2 linked regions of the Oryctolagus cuniculus genome follow. The protein of the gene in region 1 interacts with the protein of each later gene in a pairwise test. Links are inferred from orthologs where the notes say so. Each region holds a gene or a part of one and is shown in the gene's direction. Other genes may lie near its edges.

Region 1 (3,652 bases):
CCGGCAGGGTGTCAGGTGTTCTAGGGGGGACACCGTGGACCCCAGCCCACCGTACCCCCGGAATGGGGCCAGCAGCCCTGGCCCCAGGGGTTGGGTGTGTGCATAGATCTGTGCCTGGCTGTGTCACCATGCACCCTGGGACTGTCCCCAGCCCCCGGCAGTGCCTGGATGCCTTGTTGGAAAGCAGCTGGGCGCCCACCCAAGTCCAAGCGTCCCCATGAGCGCTAGGTTGGGGACAGAAGGAAAGCCCCATCCGTGTGTTCATGCAATCCTCGTGGCAGGGGAAGGCGGTGGGCAACAGGCAAGACCCATGTGCTCAGGAGGGACCACGCCCTTCTGTCCCCCACTGGTAACTCAGAAGAAATGAAAAGTCTTTTCTCAGCCAGCCCCTGGGGTTGCAGGGACAGCAACAATAGCTTATGAGGTGGTGAGCTCCCTGTTCCCAAGGGAACTCAAGCACAGGCTGGCTGACCACAGTTCTTCCCCCAGGCTATAGAGACAACCTCTGCCTCCTGTCTGCTCCTGTGCCCTTCCCAGGGGGACGCACCCCCTCCCAGGGGAACCCCATGGAAGGCAGGGCAGAGGGGTGGCCTGGAGCCCCAGGGCCAGGCCAAGCGGGGGTGAGAGTGGGGACTCCAGAGCCCAGTTGCTCACCCCCATCTCACCCCTTCCCCAGCGGTGGGTCAGTTCTTCAACGCCAGCTGTGTGCCGGTGAACAACCCCAAGAAGTACCCCTCCTCGCTGTGCGCACTCTGCGTGGGTGACGAGCAGGGCCGCAACAAGTGCACTGGCAACAGCCAGGAGCGGTACTATGGCGACAGTGGCGCCTTCAGGTACTGGGCCACCAGGGGGCCTGGGGCCGGGGTCTGCTCAGAGGTGGCTCCCTCCTGACTCCCACCCTGCCCCGTGTGCGGCAGGTGCCTGGTGGAGGGTGCAGGGGACGTGGCCTTCGTCAAGCACACGACCATCTTTGACAACACAAATGGTATGTGAACCGGGTCAGGGGGCCACACCCCACCCCCAGCACTATCCAGGCACCTGGATTCCCTAAGTTTGGGGCCCACGTGGCAGCTGGAGAAACTGAGTCAAGAAGGCCCTGCCTGGGGGCATCCTGGGGACCTGGAGGAGCGGAGCGGGAGACACGGTCAGAACAGACCTCCAGCCACAGGCCTGGTGTGCAGGACGCACGGAGGCCGTTGCTGGTCCAGGATTCCAGTCCCTAACCCACTGAAAGGGTAAACACTCAGGCTCACTGCATTTGGAAACTCCCGCCTGCCCCAGATGAATCAGGGGGGACAAGGTGTGTCTGAGTGGGGATGCAGCAAGGCCTCGGGCACGGGTGCACATCAGCAACTGGTGTCAGGTCCGGAGCGGTTCACTGTCGCACGCAGGAACGTCACTGTGCGGCCCCAACCACACGGAGGCAGGGCCCACCCCCGGAGCGTTCTGTTCTGCAGGTGGTGCTTCCGCTGGGGAAAAGAGCCTGGAGATGCTGTGCTGCAAGCCCTGAGGTCCAGCCAGAGCTGGGCTTCCCGGAGGGTGTCCCCGCCCCTCAGCCAGAGGACCCCCTTGGCCCGGGGACAGGACGCTGCTGGTCCCAGCACCTGGTGCTTCTACCTCCTGCCTGCACCCCAGGCTGTGAAACCCCAGCCTTCCCCACTCCATCCCAACCCCCCTTCCCAGAGGCACAGCCCAGAAGGGCACAGGTGTGGCCCACAGTGATGGGGGAAGCCAGCTATGCAGGAAAAGCCAGTACTGGAAGACTCAGATGCCCTCTGCCTCAGGTCACGCAGGTGGTGGGCTGGGCTGGCACCTCCAGGCCCGAAGCCTTCCACTACCCAAGTTGCCACTCCACTACCCAAGCTCCCACAAAGACCAGCCAGGGCCAGGTCAGGGGCTCTGCATACTCCTGCCGAAGCCACCAGTCCCACCTCGTGCTGGACCCCAGCCAGGTGGTCCCGAGAAGAGAAGGGTAGAGCCGGAGAAGCCCCTTAGGAGATTCACCTGCGGTGAGGCACCCACTGCCCGCAGGCTCGCTTCCCTATCATCGTGGGCTCTACTGGGGACCCACCTGGAGCTCCTCTGGGAGAGGAGGGTGGGTACTGAGTGAAGCACAAGATAGCACAGGGACCAGCCGCCTGCCCCAGCATCACCTGGTTCAGAATGCAGATTCCTGGGCACCACGGAGACCTACCCGACAAGCAGAGAAACGGCCCCTAAGGCCCTCATGTGGTGTGCTGCCCCCTCCAGTTTGAGAAGGTCAGGCCCAAGGGTATAACACACAGATGGGACTCTGCCCGGGGCTAAATAACAGCCTCCGTTCCCTCACCTGGGGGGCTATGGGTCCTGCCCCGCGCCACGGCCAGGAGGGTCGGGCAGTGTTGTAAAGCGCATGTCACTCAGTAGGAGCGCCCCGCGCCCTGCCCATGGCAGCCCTCGCTCACAACACAGCAGGGCTGGCTTCCCTGTGCTGCTAAGAAGCAGGTGCCGGGACAACAGAGCACGCTGGGGACCCGAGCAGAGGGAGCCAGGGTCGGGAGCGCAGCAACCCTGAACACCGCCCGGCTCCGTCCTCTCAGGCCACAATCCCGAGCCGTGGGCTGCCCATCTGAGGAGCCAGGACTACGAGCTGCTGTGCCCCAACGGCGCGCGAGCAGAGGCGCACCAGTTTGCCGCCTGCAACCTGGCCCAGATTCCGTCCCACGCCGTCATGGTGCGGCCCGACACCAACATCTTCACCGTTTACGGACTGCTGGACAAGGCCCAGGTGAGCCAGCCCCGGGGGCACAGGGGAGCCAGGGCCCTCAGAGCAGCCTGGGGGAAACTCTGTGATTGTCACTTTGGGATGTCCCTCCAGCAACCCTCACCCCATCCCCTACATCATTCATTTTTCCTTTTCAACTGCATCATTCTCACCAATATATAAACAGGTGGGTAATTATTTATAAAGATTTATTTGAAAGGCAGAGTTACAGAGGCGGAGGCGGGGGAGAAGGGGAGAGAGAGACAGAGAGAGATCTTCCATCCGCCAGTTCACTCCCCAAATGGCTGCAATGGCTGGAGATGGGCCAATCCAAAGCCAGAAGCCAAAAGCTTCTTCCAGGTCCTTCACATGGACGCAGAGCCCCAAGGACTTGCGCCATCCTGTGCTGCCTTCCCAGGCCATAGCAAGGAGCTGGATCGGAAGTGGAGAAGCCCGGAATCAAACCAGCACCCATATAGGATGCCGGCACTGCAGGTGGCGCTTTACCCACTGTGCCACAGTGCCAGCCCAAAACTGTTATTTTTACAAACTTTTAAAAAATGAACTATTCCTCTCAGTTTCTCATCCTCCTGTAGCCATAATTCCACTCCCTTGCAGAGTGAGCGCAGTCGGCTCGTCCGTCATCTCCTCTCCTGGTCTCGCGGTGGGCGGGCCCTTCACAAGGTCACAGCAATGCAGTTTGCTAGGTGCAGTGGTCGTCCCTCCATTCTCCCAGCAGTTTTGGCCTCCTCCCAACGGAAGCACTCTGCCCCTGCCTCCCCCACCTCTCTGGCCACTGCTTTCAGGTCCCTTTGGCTTCTCCCTGCTCACCTCCCTGTGCATGCTGGAGCAGCCAGGCTCCAGCCCCAAGCCTCCTCTCTGTGTACACCTACTCCCTTGCTGACCCCA
Region 2 (3,652 bases), on another chromosome or scaffold:
ATTAGCAACCTCTCTGAAATAGAAGGAAAGCTTCCCTTTTCCTTTACAGAGAGGTGAAGGAAGAAGCTTGTCATTGTCCTATCCCAACAGAAATCCCCAGGTGGGGTGTGTGTGTGTGTGAGAGAGAGAGAGAGAGAGAGAGAGAGAGAGAGAGAAAGAAAGATCTTCCATCTGCTGGTTTACTTCCCAGATAGCCACAAGGACTTGGCAATGCCTGGCTGAAACCTGAAGCCTGAAGCCTGGAATTCTATGCAGGTCTCCCACATAGGTGGCAGGGGCCCAAGGACTTTGGCCACATTCCAGGTGTTTTAGCTGGGACCTGGATTGGAAGTGGAGCAGCTGAGGCTTGACCTGCACTGTGATAGCCAATACTGGCATCGTGAGCAGAGGGTAGCTTAACTTTCTGCAACACAATGCTGGCTCCAAGTTTCCACATATTAGATAGTCATTTATGATCTTGGTTTTGCAATGTTCTCCCGTCTCTGACTATCTCAAAAGACGCTGTGAAGCTTTCAGACATGTCCCCGAAGAAAATTATCGAGACATCCCTTGTGGACCGTTAAAGTAACCCCTCCTCTCCTCTCCTTCCAGAATCTCATCATGCCCAACTACAAACTCACTTATTTTAATATGAGGGGGAGAGCAGAAATCATCCGGTACATATTTGCTTATTTGAACATAAAGTATGAAGACCGCAGAATAGAGCAAGCTGACTGGCCTGAAATCAAATCAAGTAAGTAGCACAAATGAAAACGTAGGGAAAACGTGCTTTGAGAACCTTTAGTCCTTCGTCAAGAAAATGAACAAATAAAGATGTTTTCATCTCCTGTGGCTTTAAATTGTGAAGCCGTCATTCAGGCAAGCTAAATCGGTACACTATGACTCAGCAGATTTCCTATTAGTGATGAAAACACAAGCCTCACAGACAGCAACTACAAAAATAAACAGAGAGCCTTGCCAGAAGAACTGAATCAGACATGAGATGCACCGTTGTATATTTTATAGTTGCGATTACTGAAGTGCACAGACTCTGAGTAATTTTTCCAGTTTCCATCCCTAACAGGTTGAGCTGATTCAAACCTGCATCAGTTTAATTCTCTCCCCCAAGTATTTTTGCATGAGAAAATGCCAACAATAATGATAAGTGACAATTGGTAATTTAGCAATACATCCCCACATGTCTTTTGGAAGCATGCCTTCTGTAAAAGACGTTGTCTTTATAATGACCACCCCCTTCTTTTTAAGCAGAGATGTTTCTGTCTGATAGGATAGAATATCTTACTTCCTGTTCTCATGAGACTTTACCATTAATCTGCAAATGTTTTTCCTGATATTGGGGTTTTTTTATTACTAGATTTTTTTTTATTTTTCCCAAAAGAAATCTTTTATTTAAGGAAAACAAACTTCATGCATTTCATAAGTAAAACTTTAGGAATGCAGTGATTCTTCTCACCATACTCACCCTCTCACCCACACTCCCACACTCCCACTCCCCCGACTCCCAATCCCATTCTCCACTAAGATCCATTTTCAATTAACTTTACACACAGAAGATCAACTCTACGCTAAGAAAAGAGTTCAACAATTTGCACAGAAAGCGAAACAAAACTGTTCCTCAACAGGCAAGACAAGGGCTGTTCAAAGTCATTGCAACTCGAAGTTAATTTCACTTTTTTTTTTTTTTTGAGAAACTTAATTTACTTTAAAGAAACACCCAAGAATGTTACATCTTTTGGGAGCACTTAGACATAACTATACCTTATAAGATATAAGAATGTTCTTCATTTAATATATTAGAAGAAAGCAAGTCCTTGAGAACAAGTTTTATAATTAATTAAGGAAGCACCTAAGAAAACAAGCAGTGGAGTTTATAATTTAGGCATAACTAAAACTTATGAGACAAGAATATCCTCCACTTAATACATTAAAACAAAATAAATCTTTGAGAACAAATTTTACTGTTAACTCTCATAATACAACTCTTTGAGGACAAAGGTCTTGCATGGGAAGTTAGTGCATAGTGACTCCTGCTGTTAATTTAACAATTAATACTCTTATGTATGATGTCAATGATCATCTGAGGCTCTTGATATGAGCTGCCTAGGCTATGGAAGCCTTTTGAATCCACAAATTCCATCGGTATTTAGACAAGGTCATAAGCAAAGTAGAAGTTCCCTCCTCCCTTCAGAGAAAGGTACCTCCTTCTTTGATGACCACTTCTTTCCACTGGGATCTCACTCACAGAGATCCTTCCTGTAGAATATTTTTTGCCATAGTGTCTTGGCTTTCCATGCCTGAAATGCTCTCATGGGCTTTTCAGCCAGACCAGAATGCCTTAAGGGCTGATTCTGAGGTCAGAGTACTGCTTAAAGCAATTGTCATTCTATGTGCATATGATTTTAAGATAAAAGTTGTATCATAGGTGAATTTCATTTTGTCCATGAAATGATTAGGTCAAGATGAATAGCATAGTGCAAGGATAGTACACACACCAAATTCTGTATTTAAGCTTTTAAAATTTTCATTTTTCTTTTAGAGCCTCATCCCCTAGTCTGTCTTGACTTGTTTCTGTTATTGAAAATGTAGTTTTCACATTTTCTTAATATCTTTATAAAATTCATGATGATTAAGATATTAATTTCAAATCATTTATGAGCCAGAGACCTACCACTGCGTTGTCTTCAAGAAGATAGAAACTTCATAGACATAAAAACTCAAATAGAAATAGTGATTTTTCTCCATGAGATTGTCAAAGACTAGGCTTGCTCTTGTTTATCTGCCACCCATGGCTGTCTTATTTACAGAGTGTAAGATAGTTCACTCTCTTTCCACATTTGGGCTCTTTGGAAGTATGAAAAAGGGAGGAGGCATACCCTTTCTTTTCACAGCTTGACCAGATAGTTACATAGAACTTCCATTACATTCCCTTGGCATGTAAGAACTTAGTCACACATTGGTGACATGTTACTGTGAGGGAAGCAGGGAAATGTTGACTTTATTGTGAATAACACCTTGTCCAGCTAAAACTCCAGGGTTTTATTACTTTGAGAAGAAAGGTTAAAATAGGTACAGAGATGCAGTTTCTATTACAAATTTTATTTGTTCTTATCTCCCATCCAGTTTAGCAGTGCTCTCTGGTGTTTGAAACCCTCTACAATATCCCCTTTGCTAGAACCTGGAATTAACTCAATCTTTGGTCAACCCTTTCCATAATTGAATAATTCTACTAAAAAGTTCTTTCTGGCCAAACCTGCCAAACTGATCACATTTGTTTTACATTTTCTCTCTGCTTTAATAATAGGAAAATATTTTGGAAAAAAGACAAAACACCATAAGGACAAAAACATCAACTTGAATAGGAGAGCAGAAAAATCTGGAAGCTAGAAAGCCAGTAAAAGAATGCTAAGGAGACAGTAGGTTCGTAAAGGCCAAAAAAGAAGCCTGGAGGAGGAAAAGGCAAGCAGAATCATTCTGAGTTCCTGAAAAAGGCTCAGGGAGCAGCAGCAACAGGCAGCTTTAAAAGCTGAGCTAATAGAGGATTGACTGGAAGAATGTGAGAAAGCAGTAGGACCACCAGCTCCTTCCCCCTCCCTGGGAAAAATGTGGACATTACTCTCAGGATAGGATGCACCAGAGGATTCTGGGACAACAG

The links. The genes of interacting proteins can lie anywhere in the genome.
Region 2: the proteins of MELTF (region 1) and HPGDS interact in binary tests that used the Homo sapiens proteins (3 or more experiments, as listed by UniProt). The two-hybrid records come from large-scale screens. The link is inferred for Oryctolagus cuniculus from reciprocal best matches to the Homo sapiens genes MELTF and HPGDS.

The regions. Positions count from the first base shown.
Region 1 is NC_091435.1:83,488,708-83,492,359, reverse strand, and holds part of MELTF (melanotransferrin), read left to right. Parts: intron 1-676; coding exon of another isoform or gene 677-833; intron 834-917; coding exon of another isoform or gene 918-985; intron 986-2,579; coding exon 2,580-2,767; intron 2,768-3,652. UniProt on the Homo sapiens protein: Involved in iron cellular uptake. Seems to be internalized and then recycled back to the cell membrane. Binds a single atom of iron per subunit. Could also bind zinc.
Region 2 is NC_091439.1:71,161,335-71,164,986, forward strand, and holds part of HPGDS (hematopoietic prostaglandin D synthase), read left to right. Parts: intron 1-591; 5' UTR 592-600; coding exon 601-733; intron 734-3,652. UniProt on the Homo sapiens protein: Bifunctional enzyme which catalyzes both the conversion of PGH2 to PGD2, a prostaglandin involved in smooth muscle contraction/relaxation and a potent inhibitor of platelet aggregation, and the conjugation of glutathione with a wide range of aryl halides and organic isothiocyanates.